Linked DNA regions of Oryctolagus cuniculus. The protein of the gene in region 2 purifies or fractionates together with the protein of the main gene of each other region. This does not show direct contact. Links are inferred from orthologs where the notes say so. Each region holds a gene or a part of one and is shown on either strand. Other genes may lie near its edges.

Evidence for each region. The genes of interacting proteins can lie anywhere in the genome.
Region 1: the proteins of DUSP10 (region 2) and MAPK9 purify together in Homo sapiens (affinity purification with mass spectrometry; 3 studies listed by BioGRID and IntAct, with this or other methods). This does not show direct contact. The link is inferred for Oryctolagus cuniculus from reciprocal best matches to the Homo sapiens genes DUSP10 and MAPK9.

What each region holds. Positions count from the first base shown.
Region 1 is NC_091437.1:67,213,529-67,217,674, forward strand, and holds the start of MAPK9 (mitogen-activated protein kinase 9), read left to right. Parts: upstream 1-1,339; 5' UTR 1,340-1,533; intron 1,534-4,146. UniProt on the Homo sapiens protein: Serine/threonine-protein kinase involved in various processes such as cell proliferation, differentiation, migration, transformation and programmed cell death.
Region 2 is NC_091444.1:36,078,645-36,082,773, forward strand, and holds the start of DUSP10 (dual specificity protein phosphatase 10), read right to left. Parts: upstream 2,803-4,129; 5' UTR 2,278-2,802; exon of another isoform or gene 2,173-2,277; intron 2,097-2,172; exon of another isoform or gene 1,576-2,096; intron 158-1,575; 5' UTR 115-157; coding exon 1-114. Other genes in the region: uncharacterized protein, read left to right, coding at 2,930-3,772. UniProt on the Homo sapiens protein: Protein phosphatase involved in the inactivation of MAP kinases. Has a specificity for the MAPK11/MAPK12/MAPK13/MAPK14 subfamily. It preferably dephosphorylates p38.

The DNA of each region.
Region 1 (4,146 bases), on a different chromosome or scaffold from region 2:
CAGAAACCTCAGTGACATATGCCTAATTGCATAAGCACAGACAGCAAACTTAGGTTACTTACCGTGCACCGGGTGACTGCTAAAAACCAGGCCCAAGTGCCTCTGGAAATCCACTGTCTCTTCCCAGCCTGGGGGGATGTGTCTATGCACATTTGCTCCTTGTTGGGACCTCATCTCTGATAGCCCGGCTTTTACTAGTTTCTCATCTTTTTCAGTAACGGCAATTTTAGGTTCCCTGTTTTCTCCTGAGCAGCTAGCTGAGGCAGGTGGCAGGAGCCCACCAGATGGGTCCATTTCAATGCAGACCACGTTCAGGAGCCGGGATTAGTGATACTCAATTTTAGAAAACTCCCCCTGGCGGCCATGGGAGGACACCACGGCTAGATCCCGTTCTCTGCCCCACCCCTCCTCTGAGGCCGTGGTGCCTGCACGAGCCCGGCCCTTCAGAACCTGGGTCACAGGCTCGCTTCTCTCCCCAGATTCTGCAACACTCCACCCCAGACCTGCAGGGTCCTGCTACTCCCCCTGCTCTGTGGACCTCGGCGTCCCGGGACTGCTGCCCCAGCTCCTTACTCACCACTTATCAATCACGGTCCCCAACTCTATCGGTGCCCGAAATCCGACGCCCCTAGCCCACGACTGGCCTCGGAGCTTTTCCCTCGGGGAGCCCCGCCTCCGCCCCTCATCCCAGCTGTACTTGTCCGGTCCCTAGGGGGCCCTTCTGCTCCCCCTGAGCCCTGTCAGCCAGCACACTCCCTCCTGCTCCTGTCGGCCGGGAAGACTGGTGCACGACGGTCATCTCCTCGCACCCTGCGCCTGAACCCTGACCTTTGGCCGCACCCCTAAACCCGTCCAGTGGGGCGTGCGTGCGGCACGTCCGCAGCGAGCTGAGTCCCAGGCGCCGCGCCTCCCTCCTCCTGTCTCCTTCCAGGTCGCCTCGCTGCTGGGCGCCTGCACCTGCAGCCCCGGGGCTCGGACCCACGAGTAGCCCCGGTCCTGAGGCGCCGCGCCTCGCCTGCGGCCCATCCTCTCTCGCCTCCTCCCGGCTCGGCGTTCGGCCGCAGCTCTGCGGACCCTCTTTGCCCGGAGAGAGGGGTCATCGGGCGACCTCAGCCACGCCCGTCTCTCCAGCCCACTACACGCCGCTACACGCCGGCACTGCCCCACGCCGCCTCCGGACCCTGCACCAGACCTCGGACGCAGACCCGGCCTGGCCTGGCCCCGCCCGAGTCGCCCGACAGCGGCCCGCCCCCTAGCGCGATTGGCCGCACCCGCCGGGCTCTCCGCGCACTGATTGGTGGAGTCACGGATCGGTCAGGCCGGGCGCCGCGGCGGCGGCGGCGGCGGCGGCTGAGGGGAAGGGAGCCGACCGGAAGGGTCGAAGCGCCCCGCGCCCCTCACACCCACTGCGGCGGCGGCGGCGGGGCGGAGCGGGGCGGGGCGGGGCGGCCAGCCTAGCCGGGAGCGGCCAGCGCGCAGCGCCGCCAGTGCGCCCGCCCGCCCTCTACCCCGGCGCGGCTGCAGGGAGGCGAGGTGAGCCCGAAGGGCTGGCTAGGCCCGGCGTGGGTGCTGGGGTCGGGCGCGGCGGGGAGCGGGGTGGGCGCGGGGCCTCTGGGGCCGGGCCTCCGGGGCTGGCGGGAGCCGCGGGGTTGCTGGCGGGCCGCAGCCCCTGCCCGCCCGTGCCGCAGTCGCCCCCTCCCGCCCGCTGCCAGCGGCGAGGACCGCGGAACCTGGCCCCGCAGACCTGCCCGCGGGGGTCTGTGGCCCCCTCCTCCAGGCGGGCCGCGCAGCTGCCCTCTCGCCCCGGATGCTCGGTGGTCCCCGCGACCTTGGATTAGGCGCTGGCTGCCCCTTCGGGAAAGTGGGGCCATGTCTGATCTTCAAGACTGGGCTGTCTGTGGGAGCACCTGGACGCAAGTCTGTGCACACTGGTGGACTATAGGGCCGGATACTGCCCCTTGCTGGCGTGAGTGTGGTGGGGGCCCCCTCCCCACCCATCCTGTGCCTTGTCATTGCGCGCCCAGTGCTCAGCTACGCGGAGCAGGCCCTGCCCACCACAGCTCTTCCCCAGAGCACTGCTCCCTGGGCCCGCTAATCCTCCCACCTGCCAGGAACTTGCTAACCTCCGTGTCCCCGGGACTTTGCACCTGCTGCCTCTCCTGTTTACGTCGCGTCCAGGACCTTTTTGTTCCTTGCTCTGTCCAGATGTCTCATTTTCAGCGAGGCCTTCCTCGGCTACCCTCTGCAAGGGATCATTCTGTCTTGTTATTTTGTTTCATTTTCTTCCTAGCACTCTGAGTTGAAACTGTTCTATTTATTTGCCTCTCCTTTTCTGTCTTCCCCCACTAGGCTGTAGCTTTCTGTAAACAGGTAGTTGTCTGATTTGTCTGCTTTCTCCTGGTACTTATAGAAAGCATACAGTAAGTATTTGATAGTCTCAGTTCAGCGAATGAATGAATGATGTAAGGAGCGTGCCTACCTGTTGTCTCTGCTTTACCTGTTCATTTAGTGACTTCTGAGTGACTTGTGAAACTCGGAAGCTTGTTCTCATTTTGTAGAACATCTTAACGTCCTTGACCTCTTTATTTGGTAACTATGGTAACGAGCTATGATATAAAATGTTACATCTTTATAATGGTTTAGCTCTAACGACCTCCTAGTAAATCCAGGAGACAGCCACTGAATTCTCCATTATCTAGGTCATGCTTTTTGCTGGGCCCTAGGGACACAAAGGAGAGAGCGACAGGGTCCCTTCCCCCAGAGAGCCTGGGAGCCCCGTGGAAAAGGCATGACGCACAGGGTTGGTTCCAGGACAGTGGATGATGCCTGCGGAAGGGTGGAGCAACAGGTGGTGCTGGTGGGCCTCCACGCTTGCCAGGCCAGGAGAGGTGCAAAGAGTGTGAAAGGGCAGGGCCAAGGAAGGAACCTAACGCTGTGTGGCGTTGGCCAGGTGTGGGAGCGTGTAGTGGTGGGGACCCTGGAGGAGGAGCCCCTCGCCCAGCAATTTTCTAAAAGAAGCTTCAATCCACAGTTGCACCTGCACTCTCCTGATTTCTCAATATTGGCAGTAGCTGTTTGTTGTTGTTGTTGTTGTTGTGAGCCTAGCCAAATACAGACCTCATTCAGCCTGGTTGCGGGATTGTGGTCCTCCAGGACGGACTGTGGGTGGGAGCCCGGCCTGCTCAGGTGCTTACTGAATTGTCCCTGGGGCCCTGGAAGGAGCAGCGAAGACACCTGTTTTCACAGAGGAAGAAAAGCCCAGAGTCCCTGCTCTGCAGCACAATCCCTCACAAGACGATGCTTCCCTGGGGCCCCCAGCCCTGCCTGTGCTCCTCTGGCTTCTAATTCGTTCTGAAACAACAACACTCAATCTGTGTAATGCTTTCCTCCATTTAACCTTTTATTCTCTTCAGAAGTAACCAGTGGGGTTAAAAAAAATCCTATTTTGGCATAGACTTCTGTGGAAAGCTTTCATTTGCCTGAGGATTTAACTTTCAGGATCCTGGGACTTTAAAATAATTTAGTGAAAGGGCATAACTTTGAAATAAGTGTTAAAGAGTAGAATTGAATGTTTCTATTTAAAATAAAATCAGGTTTCTGGCTAAAATATCAGGCAAAGTGATTGTTAGTAACCAGTTATTCCCTGATGTCTCAGGTAACCTAGAAGTCAGGGATTTTTCTTAAGAAGTGCTGATTTGGCTGCAAGGCAACTATTTTTGGTCTAAATATGTACCTGGACTTCACACTTGGCAAGAAAGTTTCCATTTTTATATTTTTATCGTTAATTCTTTTTTTTAAAGATTTATTTTTATTTATTTGAAAGAGTTACAGAGAGAGGTAGAGACAGAGAGAGAGGACTTGGGCCATCTGCCACTGCTTTCCCAGGCCACAGCAGAGAGCTGGATGGGAATTGGAACAGCCGGGTCTCGAACCGACACCCATATGGGATGCTGGCACTGCAGGCCAGGGTGTTAACCTGCTGCACCACAGCGCTGGCTCCCACCTAATAATTAATTCTTAATCATTTGTACTTGATTGTATGAACAAGGTTTCAGCATTAGTCTTTTAACTGTTTATGATAGTGACTCTGAAAAGACACAAAAAGAACGGTATCCAGCTTCAACAGTTAGAAACCCTGGCTGATTT
Region 2 (4,129 bases):
GCCTGGAGTGGCAGAGCCAAGGTAGCTAGAGTCTAAACAAAGGTTGAGATCCTGAGGTCGGACGGGCCTAGACAGTGCCACTACTACCCTGTCGTCTAAAGGAGACGGAGGCATGAGGAGGCTGAAAACTGGCAATTCAAGAAGAACTCAAGATAGTCTGTAAAGAAGGGGGAGGGGAAAGAAAGAATAAAAACACGTGATACAAAAGGCAGTCTCATCCAATCCCTAGGAAAGGCCTTTGCATCCCTCGGAGCAGAGTAGTCCCAAGTGCCCTTTATCTTGCCGCTATCAAAGCTTGGATGTATTCATAGGAGGATGCAAATCTGAGGGCCCCCATCAGTTTTGCTGTGAAGTCTAGGGTTCGATTCAGACTTAATGTTGTAAATGTTAATGAGCAACCTGTCATGGACTGACATCAAAGTTCAGTCTCGGAGAAGGTACAAGCACCAAGAATTAGGAAAGCTGAAGACAGAAAGGAAGGTTCTTAAGAGGCATCTATTTTGAGCCTCACGCCCTGAGCAGAGGATTCTGCAACTGAGAAAGCCCTGATTGCCTACCTTCGAATGCTTCCCACTTCATCCCTTCACTCCCTGCAAAGCCAGAGGGATGACGAAGAGCATTGCCAAGGCTTACAGAAATATACAGCAGCTAAATACACATTAGGGCGGATGTCAACTTTCTGCACCTGAGAGGGAAAGGATTCCCCTAAGTGAACCTCTTTGGCCAGGAGCGAGTCTTGCTTTCCATTCTGTTGGGTCCTTTGAAACGCACAACATAGTCATATTAAAACCTCACAGGCTTTCTGGTAGCCTCATTAATTAATCTGCATCCCCCCCCCCCTTTGCACTAAACACTGGTGTCCTAAAACAAAATCTGAAGCGAAGGAGTTATCTATGGAAACCCCTCCCCCCCATCCTTCCTGCACTCCTGCCCTCTTCATCTCCCCTGCTATGCATCCTGGAGCTTTTCTCAGTGGGTAGCAGCTGCTTTGTATAGGATTTTAATCCCATACAGATATCTGCCCCTTGGAGAGTAAGGATGGGATAAAGACTTCCCTTTTAGCGTGTCCCTGTTGAAGGGAGGCAGGGAAGTGGAGACCAGGAGTCTACCCCTGATGTCTTCAGAGACCACCTGAACAGGAATGGTCCCTTCCTACCTGTGGGCTCAGGGACACCCTACAACTCGACCCCACTGACTCCTCTATCAGACATGCACACAGCAAAGAAACCAAACCCCGAGCAAGAGCCGCTCACCCAAACGAACTTCAAGAGCTGTCCGGGAAAAATGTCATCTATCATCCGTCTACACACGATCGTCACCATTCTCTGACACAGAGCCAAAGTGTTCACAGGCGGAATCCGCACACACACGCGCGCACATAGGGGCATGCACCCACCACCAGGTCCGCAGGTCCCCACTGACTCGGGTGTCGCTCTCTCACACACACTGCTCCCTTGCGTATGCGTAGTATTTTTTTTTTTTTTTTTTTGGAGGAGCGAGTACTATTCCATATTCTAAAAGCTGTAACTGTGTCCCAGCGGGACCAAGCAGCCGAAGTCTTTGCTATTGTGTTACCTGGTGGGGCACGTCCAGGATCCACAGTCTGCTTCCTCCGAGAGGGGCGCGCCAGCGCTTCCGCAGGCTCGCGCGCCGGGACCCCCGCCTCCACACGGGGTGCGCGGCCCGCACACACGCACCGGGCGTGCGGACAGATCTGCAGCCCTGCAGCAGACGGTCGGGCGTCTGTGCTGCGCGTGAAACCATCCAGTCTGGCCCAGGAAACCTCCCGGAGAAACCTCGAACTGAGCCCCCCTGCCCTGGCCAGCCGCCCTTCCGCCGCTAGGCAGGGGCTGGAAAGAAAAACTAAGTGATTAGCCCGTGCTCCTTGCCCGCTCCGAGGGCACGGAACGTGGCCCCCTCCTCGCCGCCGCACGGCGCGTGGAGAAGCCCCGGGCATTTAGTAGAACTGCCGCAAAGCATCCCAACAAACCTCGCTTTTGCTTCGCCCCCCGACTCGAGTAGGCTGCAGGGCGAGTAATCGCACCGGGCAGCGGGGCCAGGAGCCCCAAGCTCGGAAGCGTACCTGCTGGGGCTCCTCGGTCAGCATCGCGCCTCCCTCTCCCCTCTCTCACGCACACACACACACTCACACACACACGCACAGACACGCACCTCCACTCCCGGGCTCTCCAGAGTGGCCCCGGCGACTTCCACTTACTTCATCAATAAGTGTAGCCTTCCACCCCCCGGCGCTCGGTTTCAGCTAAGGACTCGCACCTTCAGCCCCCATTCACTTGGCTTCATTGATCTCCAGCAGCAACATAGTTACTTTCTCTTTTGCTACACTGTAAATGTAAGATTCTGAGGGGGCGGGCTGGCCTGCGACCGACGGCGCATTGGGCCAGTAGGAATCCGGAGAAAACCGACCGCTACCTCATAGAGGCCCGCGGCCAATGGGCGGCCGAGGGGGGCGGAGCTGTGGGCGTGGCCTCGCCTCGTCAGGGCGGGTTTATCCGACGCGGCTCCAGGTCCTCTGTGTTAGAACACGGGCGGTGATGTCATTGGCAACCAATCAAAAACTTAAAAGAGCCAGCCGGGGCCCGCGCGGAGCAGCTGCTCTCTATTTACATGTAAGCCGGCGCGGCCCGCCGCCTTAACCCTTTCCGGGGCTGAATTGTCAATGGGCGGCTCGGGCTAAACCAGGCTCTTCCCTCCTCGACCGGATCCTCCGTCCACACGCCCCTCGCCCTGAGACCCGCCGCGCGGCCTCCTCATCTCTCCTCCCTCCTTTGGACTGACGGCCCAAAGTGCCGGAGTAACTTTCTGAAGGCCGGGGACCACGGACAACCTCCGGCTCCACCTGGGAGAGCTGTGACCTGACAGACCCTCCCCGGGATTCGCCCACTTTTGCCAAGACTCCCCCCCTGGGATGCCTCGGAGCCCGCCCGCGAGCGGCGCCCCCTCCCCGCCCGCCCTGGGCCACGCACCGAGGGCCCCGACTCCGGAGCCGCCGCGGGCCGGCGGCCACTCGGCCCCTCCTCCTCCGGGCGGCCCGCAGATGTCGCTGCCCCACCGGCGGCCCCACTGGTACCCCGCGCAGCGGCAGCGCGCCTCCTTCTTGTTCTCCGGTATCCGCGACCCGGTCACGCCCCCGCCGTCGCCTGCCTGGGCCCCCGGGCTCGACCCTGAGCTCACAGGTGGCGCGGCGGAGGGCTGCTCGGAGGAGGCAGAGGCCTGGGGCCACGTCCGCTACGACCGCGGTCGGGCGCTGAGCCGCTGCACCGCTGCGGTTCCCCTGGGCCCGGCGCCCCGCGCCCCGCAGCGCACCGCCCAGGGCCCCAGAACCTCGCCCCAGTGGGCGCCCACCCCGTCTCCCCCGCGGCGCGTCGGGTCTCCGCAGCCCGCCTGCCGTGCTGGCCTCGGCCGCCGCCCCTCCACCCAGCACGGTCCCCGGCGAGCGGAGGACCGCCAGCCCGGCGCTTCTGGAACAGCGGCCGCGGGCGGCAAAGAGCCGGAGCCCAGCGTCCACAGCCTGGCTGCACGGAGCCGGAGGAGCGCCGAGGAGCCCGCGCCGCCGCTCGCCGTGCCCCCGACTTGGGCCGGCAGAAGGGTCCCCTGCCGGTGCGCAGGGGACACGAGTCGGGGCCGGGGCAAGCTGCTGGTCGCCGCCTCAGGAAAATGCCAGGAGAATTTCAGGAAAGTTGCCCTGGAAAACAAAACGGATTGGAAAAACCCAGATGAACTGTGGAGATATTACAACAAAGAATCCTGAAGAAAGAGAGCTTTTTCTCCCTCCCCTGCACCCCTGTCTCAGGGAGGAGGGGGCACAAAGCGAAATAATGACGATGCAGTAAAACAGGATGAACACTATGGAAATAGATGGCTGTGATTTTTTTTTTCTCCCCCTCTCTGTCTCTTCATTAACTGATTGGAGGTATTTAGAGAAAGGCTTCAGTCTCCAGGCCTAACAAATAGACTAAGTGGTAGGGCATATTTATATAATTGCTTGCAATGTGGGTCTGAAACCAGGAGGGGTCAAGCCATGACTAGCTGGCCAACTGTGCCCACTGAGCTGTTGGAAGAAATCCCCCTGGACACCTCTGCATAAGTGCAGGCCCATACACAGTCC